Linked DNA regions of Notamacropus eugenii. Each later gene encodes a partner of the first gene's protein in a complex. Links are inferred from orthologs where the notes say so. Each region holds a gene or a part of one and is shown on either strand. Other genes may lie near its edges.

Region 1 (7,782 bases):
TGCTGATCCCTTGTTGAATGTCAAATGAAGAAGTTTCCATACTGATAAAAGAGTTTCCATATAGTCAGACTAATAAAATCTCAGGTTGGATCCTCCCCACTTCTGCCCCACCCCCCAAAAAAGACGAATAAGAACGTACAAAGAACAGCACAATGTGCTGGGGATACAGAGATCAACAAGCAAAAATGTCCAGTTCCTATTTCAAGGAACTTCTTTACATTCTAGCAGAGATCACAGTCACTGGAATGGTCCCTAACGACCCCCACGAGGGGGCTCAGCCCCTTACAGACTAGGAGACATGACCAATATACATGAAAGTTAGCTAACAATAGGAGGCAAGATGTGCCACAGGTCAAATGAATGATACTTACTTTCACTAATTCTGTGTGTGTTTGTCCTTTGTTGCCAAAGACCACGCCATCAGAGAAATAATGACATGACTTGCACTTGACTTTGTTTTGAGTGAGGGAGGGCCGTACAGGTCACCAGCCTCACTTCTCCTCCAGAGCCATCTGAATCCAGTGACCAGATATTCATCAGGATGACTGGAGATGACCCAGGATGAGGCAATTGGGGTTAAGTGACTTGCCCAGGGTCACACAGCTAGTGAGTGTCAAGTGTCTGAGGTGACATTTGAATTCAGGTCCTCCTGACTCTTGCACCACCCTCCCCCCTCCAGTCTCCTTGGAGCTTTGGTGGTGGGAACCCGCCCACTGAGGAGAGCTGGTAGTGGTGTCCAGCAGTGGGTGAGAGAGAGACACCTGAGAGCAAGAAGAGAGGAACTCTTCCCCGCCCCCTAGGGGGGCTTCCTCCTTCCTTTCCCGATTTTGGATTACTAATTCTGTAGGAATTAGAGCAAGGAAGAGGTTGAACTGGGTTGGAGAGGTCAAGGAAGACCTCTCAGAGGATAAGAGGCCTCAAGGGAGGGTTAGAGATGCTGATGCAATTCATTCCAATTCAACAATCATTTTTAAGCACCTGCTCTGTGTCAGACACTTGCTAGGTGCTGGGGCAAAAACAAAAATGAAAATAGTCTGCCCTCACAAAGTTTTTGTTTTACTTGGAGAATCAGAAAGAAGAGAATGGGGTGATCCAGGTAGAGGGAACTGCAGGAGCAAAAGCACAGAGGTGAGAGGATATTCTCAGTGACAGTAAGACTAGATTGACTGGTGTACAGGGAATGTCTGAACAGAGTGGTGGAATTTGAGGTTGGGGATAGATTGTGAAGATGCTTAAAAGCCAGGCTAAAGCTTTTGAAAGTTATTTTATGGAAAAATGGGGGAGCCATTAGAAGATCTTGAACCCGGGAGTGGTATGATCAGAGTTGTGAATTGGGAAGGTCAGTCTGGTGGCCACAATGGGTGGAGAAGCAGGATGGATGGATGGAGGTAGAGGCTCCTTTCCTTCTGGTGAAGTCAGTAAGTTTTCTAGGGACTGGGTAATGTGCTAAGGGCTTGGAAGCATTGACTTTGATTCAGCTGCCTCTTCCCTCAAATCCCGTCCTTCTGAGAATGGTGGCTGGTGGTTGAAAAACAGGAGTAAGTGTATTCACATCTCAATGCCTAAAAGCCTGCTGCTCCACCTGGCTTGCAATTTATTTTTAGACATATTTGAATGATAATTTCTATGCCAGGACTGTACAATTTAATACTACCCTTCTACTTTGTCCTCATGGCTACTGCTGATTGTTTCTTCCTGTGTCTGTCTGCCTGTCTACTTGTCCTTCTGTCTTTCTCTCTGCCTTTGTTTCTGTCTCTCTAGTCTATCCCATCTGTTAAGGCTGAACATAAGCCTCTTATCCTCCATGAGGGCTTCCTTGACTACTCCAGCCCATAATGATTTCTCTCTTGCTCTAATTCCCACAGTATTAGTGAAAGGAAGTATCCTTCATTTGACTCAGTGCACATATTACCTCCTGTCTCCTATCTCCCCTGTCTCTCTGTCTCGGTCTTTCTGTGTGTGTGTGTGTGTCTGTCTGTCTGTCTGTGTGTGTGTGTGTGTGTGCACACGTAAATTTCAAAAATAAAGCATATACCACATAGCGGTACTGCTAGCTGACAGAATTTCAGAATAGGTAAATAAAACCTAAATAGAAAGTCGTATATAAGGAACTGATGAGCTTGTACCCACTGTTAACTGGGGTAGGGGAGAAAGTGACCTCAACGATGTAGAAAGTGTCCCCAGAACTACCCTCTCATTTGGCCTGCTATCCCCTTCCTGGAGTTGCCACTCCCACTGTATGGCATCAAAGGATTGATTCAGATCTTCTGATAGGTCCTCATGACTTAATTCTCAGCAACTGTTGCCTTCCATGTTAGACTTCTAGCCCCTCTTCCCACCTTCCTGGTATATTCTATCCATAACTCTTTTTGTTTTTTTTTTTCCCGAAGGAGATGGGCTCTGAGTTTTGGAGGCCTCTCAGTGCATCTAGTGGTCAAATCTAATGGGGTACTTGGGTGCCAATTCTAAAATCACATTTCTCTTTAAAAGTCACATCCCTCCCTAGCTTCAAAACACTATCCCAGGCAGTGTCTCCGCAGCCCAAGGACACAACCTGCCCCAGCAACAACTGTTATCTCCCCTCCTGCCATAGCAGCCAGCTACACCTATAGAACTTATTAATCTGAACTAGCTGTGGACTGGCTGGACTGACTCTGCACTAGGTCATAATGACATTTACTACTCACTGACTAATATTCGTACGTATCCTAGACTTAGACGTACGTATACTCCCTTACATTTATCTTGTCTAAGAAGACATTGATGAGAGTAGCCTGGTATTCCTGAGTCAGCTCTGACCGTTGGTTGACTTAGTGATGTTTCGGGCCTAAAACCACACCTTTAGGAAGTCCCATCTTGGGCTATTTCCTGATGAACTCTGTGTAAAATGCCTCCACAGTAGATACCAAAAGTGCATGTTCCTTTAAGAACCAACCACTCCTTAACTACTCCCTAATCCCACCCCCAAATACCTAGTTAGCATATTTGGCCCATGTTTCCTATAGAATATCCTGTAAAAACTTTCCTTGTATCCCTCTAAGGTTGCAGGTTCCCTAGGAACTCTTGCCCACTGAAAAGCGTAATAAATCTTTACCTTGACCTCGACAATACTTGAGTCTGCAGATTCATTCCAGGTGACCTGCCCCTGGTCTTTGTGGGGGGGTCTCACTCCTCCTTTCCAGCCCTCATCAGATTCACTCCCAAGGCTCTCTCCCCCAAAGATGGGTATCTGGAAACCACTCAAAAGATAAGAAGCTGTGAGGCAAAACGCATGATTTCCTTTGGCTTTCAAGAAAGAAGGAAATGAAAAAGAGGATGCAGAAGTGACCTTGTGGTCAAGACCTTGGAGGTTAGGAGTAAACTGGTGGATTTAGTTCAGTTTTAGGGGTGTAGAGTTACATAAGTGAGACCATTATACGAAGTGATATGCATGGTGGTGAGGGAACCCAGGTCTTTAAATGCAGGCCAAGGACTGAATCTCATTTTTCAACTTAACAGAAAGTATTTTGAAATCTTCCCCACACTTCAAAACAAATACTGAATTAGTGCAAATAGCCTATGGGACCAAGTAGCTATTTGACTGTGAGTTAACCCACCTTTCTGAGACTGTTTCTTTCTGTACCAGTATGGGAGTTGGTCTAGAATTAATTCAACAAATAATTTTTAAATGCCCTGTGTAGTCCAGGGCTGGACACTGGGATTAATAAAGATAACTAAAACATTTTTCCTGCCCTCAATAAGTTTATAGTCTACTGAGGAAGAGGCAGAAGAGAGATATAATATCTGTAAATATGTAAAACACAAAATAATTACAGAAACAAAAAAAAATTAACCACAGTGTTCTGCAGAAAGCAGTATTTGAGTTGTCTTGAAGAAAGACAGGAATTTTAAGAAGCACAGCTTAGGAGGGAAAGCAAGGAGGACAGCAGAAGATCAAAGATGGAAACAGAGAGGCTTTATCATACATGTGTTTAGACTGCAGAGTGGATATGAAAGGGAATAATGCATAAAAAGACTAGAAAGATTTTTTTTCAGATTAGTCATATCTGACTCCTTTGTGACCCCATTTGGGGTTTTCTTGGTAGAGATACTGAAGGGATTTGCCATTTCCTTCTCCAGCTCATTTTACAGATGAGGACATTGAGGCAAACAGGATTAAGTGACTTGCCCAGGGTCACACAGCTAGTAAGTGTTTGAGGTCAGATTTGAACTCAGGTCCTCCTACCTCTAGAGTCAGTGTGCTATTCACTGTGCCACAAAGGGCTAAATTGTGAGTGTCATCCTTTGCAACATTCTCCGTGTATATCTTTGACCCTAAAGGTAGTAGGGAGCTTCTGGAGTTTATTGGGTATGGAGGTGGCAGGGCTGGGGGGGTGGGGTTCATGGTGACATGGCTAGATCTGCACTTTAGGAAAGTCATTTTGGCAGCTGACTAGAAAACAGACTGTATGAGGAGGGAGTTGAGGCAGAGAAACCAGTTAGAAGGTAATTTATTGCAATAGCCCAGGAGAAAGGTAATAAGGGCTTGGTTTAATATGGTGGCAATGTGATTAGAGTGTCAGAGAACGTATCCAAGAAATACTGTAGAGAAAGAAGCAACAACAATTGGTAAGTGAGTACATAAATAGAATTGAAGGAAAGTGATAAGTTGAGGATGACACTGAGATTGTAAGTATAGGTGACTGGAAGGCTGTAGTGCTCAAATGTAATAGGGAATTCAGAAAAGGAGTGTGTTTAGGGGGAAAAGATTATGTGTTCTGTTTTGGACATGTTGAATCTGAGATTATTTTGGGACCTCTTGGGCAGCTAGGTAGTGCAGTGGAGAGAGCACCAGACCTAGAGTCAGGAAGACTCATCTTTCTAAATTCAAATTCTGACCTCAGACACTTACTGTGTGACCCTGGGGACAGTCACTTAACCCAATTTGCCTCAGTTTCCTTACCTGTAAAATAAGCTGGAAAAAGAAATGGCAAACCACTCCAGTATTTTGCCAAGAAAACCCCAAATGGGGTGACAAAGAGTTGGATCATGACTAAACAACTTGCTTGTTTGCCATGGGATAGCCAGTTCAAAAGGGATTGGAGCTCTGGAGAGAGACTGGGGCTGCACATATAAGATCTAGGAATTAACTGCATAGACATGATCACTTAATCTATGGGAGCAGAAGAGTTTATAACAGAATATTGAGAAAATGAAAAAGAGGGCCCAGGACAGAGTTTGGGAAGGAACAGCCACAGTTAATTAGTGTTACCTATATGAAAATCTAACAAAGGAAAGATGAGAAGGATCAGTCAGACATGCTGTATTAGCAAGCACAATAGCATGCATAGGATGGCCTGTTAGTACAGGTTCTTTGATCTGCTTTTCTAAAGGAAAGATAGCTTCAAAGGGATCAACAATCTTTAATTACAGATAAGTAAAAAGAAGTGAGTATAGAAAACACAAACAGAGAAATTAGCAAGGAGGTTCAACAGACAGGGCTCTGTCTGAACAAAGAAATACAACCACCTACATATATCACCAGACTGAGAGAACACCAACATCTGAGTAGTTGGGGGGAAGATCTTAACAAAGGATTACTCAGAGTCCTGTCCAGGGATTCCAAAGGTCCTTCTCATGAGCAAGCCCCCAAAGTAAAACGCCAAATTCCCAGAATATATAAAAAAGACCAAGTCCCTGATTGGCTCAGAGCCAGAAGGTAAAAAACCTACATGACTCAGTACAGCTGTGAATTATCAGGGTTCAAAGGAGATTCATCCTTCAGATGTTTATAATTTAGCCTGAGACTAGGAAAGTGAACTCCAGAAAAAAAAAATCACACTTTGCCTACGCTTACACATGCATAAAGAAAATCAAAAGATAAGTGTCATGAAAACCAAGAGACAGAGATAGACAGACAGACATGCACACACAGACATAGAGACACACACACAGAGATAGAGAGAGGGAGAGAGAATACAGGACAAGGAGGTGGTCAGCAATGCATAGGCTTTCAGAGGGGACAGGAAGGAAATTTAGGATTGAGAAATTTAGATTTTGCAATTAAGAAATCATTAGTAAGTTGTTTAAGTTCAAGTAACTCTGAGTTCCACGTCACACCCAGCAAATTGTCAAATATGACAATTAATGAAGTGAGCAGAACTAGAGAGAACAGAAACCAGCACGCTACCAGACAAAAGAGAGGTAAGCTGGAGAAAACAAGTCCCCCCTCTCTCCCTGATTCAGGTCTGTAAGGTCAATGGGAAATAAGATCTTCCCCCACCCATTAATAGGCCTCACATGGAACCCTGATGCAGAGCCAATTAGGCTCTAGGCCACAGGGATTCCCACATCTTTCCAATTAAGTGCTGATTTCAAAGCTTCTAGGCACTAAACCAATTAAGTGCCTTTGATTATAAACAGTGTATATTGTTGTGTTGTTATGTGTTTGTCCTTCGTTTCTCAAAGAGGTCCATGACATCAAGATGATGATATGACTTGTAGTTGACTTTGATTTGAGGGAGGGAGGGCTATGCAAGGTTACCAGCCTCACTTTCTCCTCCAGAGTCATCTGGGTCCAGTGACCTGATATTCATCAGTATGAGGGGAGATGGCCCAGGATGCAGTGGGAGACCCTGGCCATTTTAGGCTAAGGTCTTATCACATACTCACTTTGAGTGAGATATACCCACTCAATGAATAGGCCTCTTTAGGTAGTTACTCAAGGGATGGCCCCTTTTAATAAAAAAATAATAACAAAAAAATCAAACTGGGAGGGGAAGACCCTCAGGGTTCCAGGGTAAAAGAGAATCAGTAACTATTTAATAATTATTGCTTGGAGGCAAAGATGTAAGTGAAGAGAGAAGCAGGTGGAGAGAGGAACTGGCTGAGGGAGCAACTTGCCTAGGGAACTTGCCAGCTGGGAGGCTTGAAAGAGAAAAATGCTGACACTCCCTGGACTGGTAAATCCTGCCTTCCAGTCTGCTAATAGCCTTATTCCAAATAAATATTTCCGCTTTGTCGTGGAGGAGGACAGTTTATTACAATTTGCAAACAAACCCTGGGAATACATATGCACATTCGTAGCAGCTGCTATGGGCATCATATTGGCATTACAAGTCATGGCGTCTCTTGGGTGAAGCAGATAAAGTGGTGGAAAAGAACAGTTCTCTAGAAAGAACTACAGCATTTTTGAGAAAAACAACTTTGAATGACAAACACAATGATCAATTACACCTCCAGAAGATTGATGGTGAACCAGTTTCCATCTTTTGGCATAGAAATGGTGAACCAGAGGTGCAGAATGAGACATATTTTTAGACATGGCTAATGTGTGAATTTGTATTTTTTTTCTTGATCATATTTATTTTGGGGGTGGGCTTTTACTTTTCATTTTTTTGATAAGGGAGAGTCAGGGAGGGGTGGTGATAGCTATATTTTAATTAAGGAAAAATGTTAATAAATCATTTCAAGAAACAGAAGAAAATGCAGAAGTAGCATAGACAAAGAGGCCACTGTTGGAACTACCATATTAAGTTTTACTTACCACTCCCCCACAAAAAACCCCAAAACTTAAACTGTATATTGTGTGTGGGAGGGAAGAATTTCCTGCATCATGTAGTCAGTTTAAAATTTTTTTCCTTGTAAATGGAAATAATTGTGATTGTGTCAAGTTCACAATCAATAATAATCTTTTTTTTTTTTAAATGAGAGATCACTAGAAACCTTTGTAGCCCAAGATTCTCTAGACAACCCTGTGCTAATATGGAGCCTGTCAAGGCCCCTATCATGTGGGTGAGCCCA
Region 2 (7,089 bases), about 210 Mb from region 1:
AAGAATGGGGAGAGAAACTCCCCAAAGATATAAGATCTCTTGAGAAAAACCTCTAATGGTGTGTGAGAGTACAGGAAGGATGTCTGTGAATACATAGATGGAAGGCAGTGCTGTGGAGCCAGAGAGATAAAGTCTCTCAGGAAGAACTAGGATCCAATTCTATTTCTGACACATTCTGACTGTGTGATCTTGGGCCAGTGGTTTTATCTAACAGTGTCCCAGGCAATTCTCAAAGATGGCAAGCTGTAGAAAAGTTAACAATGTGCATGAGCAGAGAGATTTTCCTCTCTGAGAATTCCCTATACAAATGAAAAAATCTAAACCAAAGTACATACACATACATGGACACACAAATAGAGATGGATAGGAAGGTTCTACAGTTTCATTAACTTAGAAAACTCTCTTACTAAATAAATCCTAAGGATGTATTTAAGGCACACAGAAGTTAAATGACTTGTCCTTAATGAACAGGCAGAATTTGAACTTTATCCATTATATGTGTGTATACAATATGTGTGTACCTATATCAATATACACATATGTGGCACAGTTCAAATTCTACCTCTGATATATGCATATGTGTATTATACATGTATCCATAAATACATACATGTACATATGCAAATATTACTTTGTGAGTATATCATATATGTATGTGTGTGCGCATGTGTGTATGCAGAATATATATGTGCATATTGTAAAGACTCATGTGTACATGTACCTGCATGCATGTGTATATGTGTGTATAAACATGTGTGATTACATATAAATAGATATAATTACTATTACACATTTTAAACAAAACACATCCGAAAGCCATTCATTAATCCTAAAACAAAATAAAATCCCAAGCCTCTAACAAATACAAAATTACATGTATTTCTTTCTGTTCTGAAAGAACCTGAAATCCTAGGGAAGCAAATTCAAAGCAGATCCCTATCTGCATGGTAGACCATGTCTACCCCATTCTCCTTTGGGTCCGTTAGGCTTTTATATGTTTTCATTACTTTGGTAGCACACATGGGTCTGTAAAAAGAACACTAGAGTTTGGGGGTTTTTTAATGAAAAGGGTAGAGGAAGTTTCTTTTTCTATACTGGGATTATTTTTCTCCTTTTTTTGTCTCTCCATCTATCATCCTTCTATATTTCTACATATTGATCAGCCTTAAGACCTGAAGATGTTATTAAGTGGTTAAATAGAATTCTGCTGTTTCAGCAAATCCACACTTAGCTGAGATCATGGAACTGCTCCATTATCCTATTAGTTCAAAAAAACTCCCAGATATCTCCTGAATCTCCACATCCCTTCAGCTTTCATATGGTAAGAAGAAACCAGTGAGGGGTGGAAACAACAACAAAAGGTTGAAAAACTTTCAATGGAACTTCGAGATCCTTTATTTTGCGTTCTTCCCTCAACACAAACCCCCACCCCAGGTATGCCCAAACTTTCAAAGCAGTTACTAAATCAGAGGGAACAGCAAAACAGTCATTAAATTCATGGGGTCAGGGAGCAAATGGAAGGAGAAAATCAGGGTTTTTTCCTTTATTTCTTTTAGACGCATTGATTTATTCAACAAAACCAATTCAAAACACACACACGGACTTAATGAGTTTGTCTAAGTGTCCAGTCTTTGAGTCTATGTATTTAAGAAAGAATCAAGAATTCAAGTCTTTCTTTGAGGAACTTAATGAAAATTGCAATCAGAAGAGGAGATAAAGAGAATGGAAATCAATCTTTTTTTTTTAAGCTTGGAACTTAATCTTTCTATATTGTGGCTTCCAGGCTTCCTCATCATAGCACTAATAATACACGCTTCCTCTATGAATTTTCAGGCTTTCCGTCAAACAACCTAGGAAGGTGGGAGAGGCAAATACTGTTATCCCCACTTTACAGATGAGGAAAATGAGGCCGAGAGAAGTTCAACACTTGCCCGTGATCATAGCACAAAGTGTCAGGGCCCAAACTGGAACCCCTAGATTTTCGAATTCCAAATCCAGTGCTCTCTGCATGAGGAAAGTGTCTCGCTCCTCCCGACTGCCTCTGCTCGGTGCCCTTACTCTGGCCAAAGAGCAGCTGCTGCCCTGTGAACAGTAGCAAGCATCACTGGGCTGAGCGAGGATGGAGCGCCCCCCACCAACTCCTGCCCCAACTGGTCGGAGGTAAACTGGTCAGGATAAACTTCTAGGGAGCATCTGTGGCACTGGGGAGACGCAAGGGCATGAGCTGCAAAAGAAAATCCTTTCTATGTCCTGGCTGCCTTACCTTCATCCACTACCCCTCACCCACCTGCTAAGCGCCAACCTTCTTCAAGAACTAATGAGGTCACTTGAGGCATAATCCGGCTGCGTTCTCAGCACCAGCCTTAAAACTATACTAATATCCATGAAGCCTAGATACCAAGTGGCCCACAAGCGCTATCACCCGTGATTGCCTCAGTTTCCTTTCACGTTCGGTAAGACCTCTCTCATCTCCCCTACTTCAAGCGGAGCCACACCACCAAACACTCGGGCTGCAGTCAGAAAATCCAAAGGCGCGGTGATTGCAAACTAACTCTGAGGAAATTCAACATTCCTCCCTTTGCGCCTACTTACTTGGAGTTGGGAATCTCCGCTCTCCTGCTTTGGCCGCTGGTCAATGGAGAGAGATGAGGCTGGCTGCTAGGTTTCTAGAGACAGGAGATCGGGCAGGAACAGCCCCGCTGCCTCCGCCGCTGCCTCTGCTGCTGCTGCCGCCGCTGCTGCTGCCGCCGCCGCTGCTGCTGAGGAAGCTGTTTCTCCAGCTGCTCGCTCTCCTTTCTGGACAGGATCACTCACTTGTCTCTTCCTTTTCCCTTTTCCAGCTGTGGCTTTCCTTGCCTGCTGGGACTTGCTATGAAAGATTTCTGGACTCCAAGGCAAGGGAACCTGATCCTCCCTTGGACTCAATTAAGCCTTGACAGGGAGTGAGTCCAGAGAGAAAATGAAGAATGGAAGGAGGGAGTGAAAGGAGGGAGGGAGGCAAGTGGGCAAAGTGAGGAAGCCAGCACCAGCAAGGGCACTTTTTAAGTCGGGAGCTGGTTGGAAAGCTTATTAAAAGCAGGTCACTCAAGGGGCAGTCTCTCCCATTAGAAGCAAAAAAAAGGGGGGGGGGGAGGGACAGGGAAAAGGAGATGAGATAGCAAATTGGACTTCTTGACTAATAATTATTCCAAAAGGAAGTCTTGACAACACATTTCTTCTCTGAAACTTTGTGCAATTCAGAGGAATGAGCTTTTTACCCAGATTTTGATAAGTAGGGAATCAAAGTGATCTCTCAGTACTCTGAGAGGAAGGGTGTCTCACTGGTGTCAAACAAAATAGAACTAGGGATCACTAAACATAAAGATTCCTACTGGCATCTAATAGACCTCGAATACGGCATCTTAATATTTTTGTTACTGTTGTTGAATCATGATCAACTCTTCATGATCCCATTTGGGGGTTTTTTGGCAAAGATACTAGAGTGGTTTGTCATTTTCCTCTCCATCTCATTTTACAGATAAAGAAACTGTGGCAAAAAGGGTTAAGTGACTTGCCTAAGGTCACAGATGGTAAGTGTCTGAGGCCACATTGCAACTCCTGAAGATAAATCTTCTTGATTACTGGCCCGGTATTCTAGTCATTGCTGCATCTACCTGCCTTCATATTAGTGATATCAATGTTTTACTGCATTTTCTTTCTTTTGTTGAATATTTCTCCATTACATTTTAATTTAACTAGGGTAGCACTTGTGAGTCCTATGTTTGACACTCCTTGAGCTGGCCTAGAGATCCTGAAGACCCCAGATGCAAATGCTGACTGTGTGACCCTGCCCAAGTTGTTGAACCTCTTAGCATCCGCAGGCTACAACTTGCAGAGAAGGTGAAGACCTGTGGAGAAGGTGATCTTCCTCACAGGAAGCTTCCTAGATTGATGGTCTGGTCTAAAGCAAACAAAAAAAAATTGGTTCTGTGTAGTTTTTTGCTATTTACAAAGTGCTTTCTTAACAACAATCCTGTGAAGGTTCAAATACGATTATTCCAATTTTACAGTTGTGGCTGCGGCGACTCAAACACATAAAGTGATGTGCTCATGGTCATACAGCTACTAAATGTCAGAGCCAGGAGTTTGTCAGCCAGTCAATCAACAAGCATTTACTTAGTCCTTATTCTGTGACAGTCACTGTGCTCCCAATTTTCCTGATAAAGTAGGGAGAAAAAGGACAGAGACAGGATGGGGAGAAATGGATCTAGTGACCAAATATCTTCATTCCATTACCACCATCATTCCTTCCTCCTGCAATTTCTAATAGTTCAATTATCAAATCCTTCTTAAAGAATTTCCCATTTGGCTTTGTATAGTAGACTGAGCCCCAGTGATACTCTATGTAAAAAACTACTGAGGTCCCAAAGAAGGCTAGGTAGATGGACGTCTGAAGGGCCAGAAAGGTCAATTAAATGCTCCAGGAGGTGGGGAGCATGAAGGATTACAGATGGGTGCTTTAGTGGATCAGGCCCTGGAGACACTTGACCTCAGGAGGACCTGAACTCCAATCATCTCTCAGTCATTTACCAGCATTATGACCCAGATCACTTCACCATGAAGTCTGTTTCCTCATCTGTAAAATGGAAATAATATCATCTACTCACAAGGTTGTTGTGGGGATTGCCCAAAATAATATACGTAAAGAGCTTTGTAAAACTTAAAGCATTGTATAAGCACTACATAATCAGAAGTGATAAGGATGAAGATGCTTTCAATGAAGCACTTTTGTCCCCCAAGCTTTTAGGTGGTGAATGGTCTCTTAGGTCCTAAAACGCAACAGGAGGTAAGCCTTCTGACGAAAGAGCTCTGTGAGCTTTCTAGGACTTCTGATCAGGTCTGCGTATTAATGGTGTTAATATGAGCACCTTAACTAGAGAGAGAAAGAGACAGAGACTGAGACGGAGACTGAGTCTGAGAGACAGAAAAAGAGGTGAAAACAGACACAGAGATTAATGCTCTTTTCACTCAATTATATTTCTTTCATATTAAAATAACTGAACAACAACTAAGTATAAAATATTGAGTTGAATGAATATTTATTTTCATTTCAAGTAAATAGAACAGAGCAAAATTTAAAGGAATGCAAACATCCAAGAACAATTATTAATTTATTTATTCGTGTTGAACATATTTATATTAAGAAAATGTTAAGCACAAGCTACTATGTTAAACATCTTGGGGACACACAGAGAATAAAATAGCATGGTTCTTGATGTTAATGAGTTTATAATCTGGGATTAAGATGTTCACAAAAAATATATTACAAAATAAAATACTACAAGTGTTATAAAAGAGTAGAAAGGTACTGTGGAAATTCAGTGGAATAAGAGGCTATGACTAGGAGGATCAGGGAAGATTTCTTTAAGAGAGTGGCATCTAAACTGAATGTTCAAGGATGAATAGAATTTTGACAGGTGAAGACTGATGAGAAGGGTGTTAAAGGTGATATGTTGCTACACATGTGTCAGTCGTGTTAAAATCTTCAGAGGTCAAAGTGAAAGAAGACTGGGAAAAGACAATGAGATTTAGGGGAGAGGGGTGAGAGATTACCAGTATCTTTGGAGACAGCAACTTTCACAAGATGATGGAATTGGAAACCAGATCACCAGGGGTGGAAGGAGAAAGTGGACTGTGCTTGATGAAAATTTGGAAGGGAAAGGAAGGGGAGAGAAAAGATGAAGTTCAAGGTGACCATATTAACTAGGTTAAGGGAAAGATTTTGTATGTTTGTTAAGCACAGCAGAAACCAGGTTTGTTTGCTTTTTTTGCCAGAGGAAGAGCCATTACTAGGGAGAGAAAGATGGAAATGCAACAGAAAAGAAATAATTAATAGAGCAAGGTCCTGAGAGGTTTGAGGACTGTGACATAGCCCTCTCTGTTAAGAATAAGCACCATCATTTCCTCTAAGAACACAGGGAAGGGAGACTGGATGGGCAAAGATAAAAGAAAATTTTGGGGTGGAAAAGAATAATGGATGTTAAAGTAGGTCACATTGAGTGGGCCTCCTCATAGTAGGAAGAAAGCTCATCTACTAAGGGTGAGAGATTAGGGACCATTTGGAAAAGATTTTGCTAGGAAGTTAATTTGTTTTTTTAATCTGGAATGCAAATTTTTTAATCTGTAATGTAATCTGTAATGTAATGTAATCTGTATGCAGCCTAGTAGCTGCATAACTTGAAATCTTAGTTGCCTGGTCAGTCAATAAAGGAATATTAATCCCCTGCTATGTTCTAGGTACTATTCTAACCACTGGTGATACAAAATAATATAAAGAACAGCCCCTACTCTCAAGGAACTCACACTCTAAAGGGAGAGACATCATGCAAACAATTTTATAAATGAGCTATACACAAGATCTAGTGGAAATAATCATGAGCAGAGAGGCTGATAGAATTATCTGGATCCTGAGATCTTAAGTTACTTGCTCACAGTAACACAGCCAGTATAGGTCAAAGGCAGAACCAGGTATTCCTGATGCTCAGTAAATTTTTTTATCTACAAAGGCATACTGTCCAATTAGAGATGAATAAAGGAATTGTGGAATAGCAATGACCTTTATTCATTAATCCTTTACTTTTATCAATCCAGACTTGTGCCAGTCTTAAATAGATTCTTTCTTTATAATCACCCTGAATACCTCAGGTTAGAAGCCTTCTTGAGGTATGATTATGGGTGCAATATGATTTTTGCTTTATAAATGAAAGAGGTCTATACTTTATCACAAGCAATTAGCTATTTACTAACAATTGCTTTGCTCTAAGACCATTTGGGAAATCTTTCATTTCAGATTTCTCTGGAAATCTATTTGAAATCTCCAGTTGTCACTTGGCGATGCAGGTCTGAAGCTCAGGAGAGAAGCTAAGCCTGGATATATAGATCTAGGAGTCATTAGCGTAGAAATGACAATTAAATTCATGGAAACTGATGAGGTCTCCAAGAGAAAAAAAAAGAATAGAAAGAGAAGGGAAGGGAAGAGGGCTCAGGACAGAGTTTTGGGAACCACTTCCTTCTGGGAAGCTTTCCCTGACCATTCTAGCCTAAAATTCT

The links. Proteins that work in one complex are often made in the same cells at the same time.
Region 2: the proteins of integrin alpha-M-like (region 1) and PTN are in contact, whole or in part, in an NMR structure (PDB 8VOH), measured with the Homo sapiens proteins. The link is inferred for Notamacropus eugenii from reciprocal best matches to the Homo sapiens genes ITGAM and PTN. Residues at the interface, in NP_000623.2 of Homo sapiens: Pro273, Asp276, Arg277, Gly279, Val280, Ile281, Arg282, Tyr283, Lys306, Pro307, Arg309, Asp310, His311, Ala334, Ile335, Glu336, Gly337, Thr338, Gln339; in NP_001308315.1 of Homo sapiens: Val56, Pro57, Thr58, Ser59, Asp61, Cys62, Gly63, Leu64, Thr66, Glu68, Thr79, Lys81, Thr82, Gln83, Arg84.

The regions. Positions count from the first base shown.
Region 1 is NC_092874.1:319,269,117-319,276,898, reverse strand, and holds the start of integrin alpha-M-like, read right to left. Parts: upstream 3,190-7,782; 5' UTR 3,095-3,189; intron 1-3,094.
Region 2 is NC_092874.1:111,945,585-111,952,673, reverse strand, and holds the start of PTN (pleiotrophin), read right to left. Parts: upstream 3,049-7,089; 5' UTR 2,593-3,048; intron 1-2,592.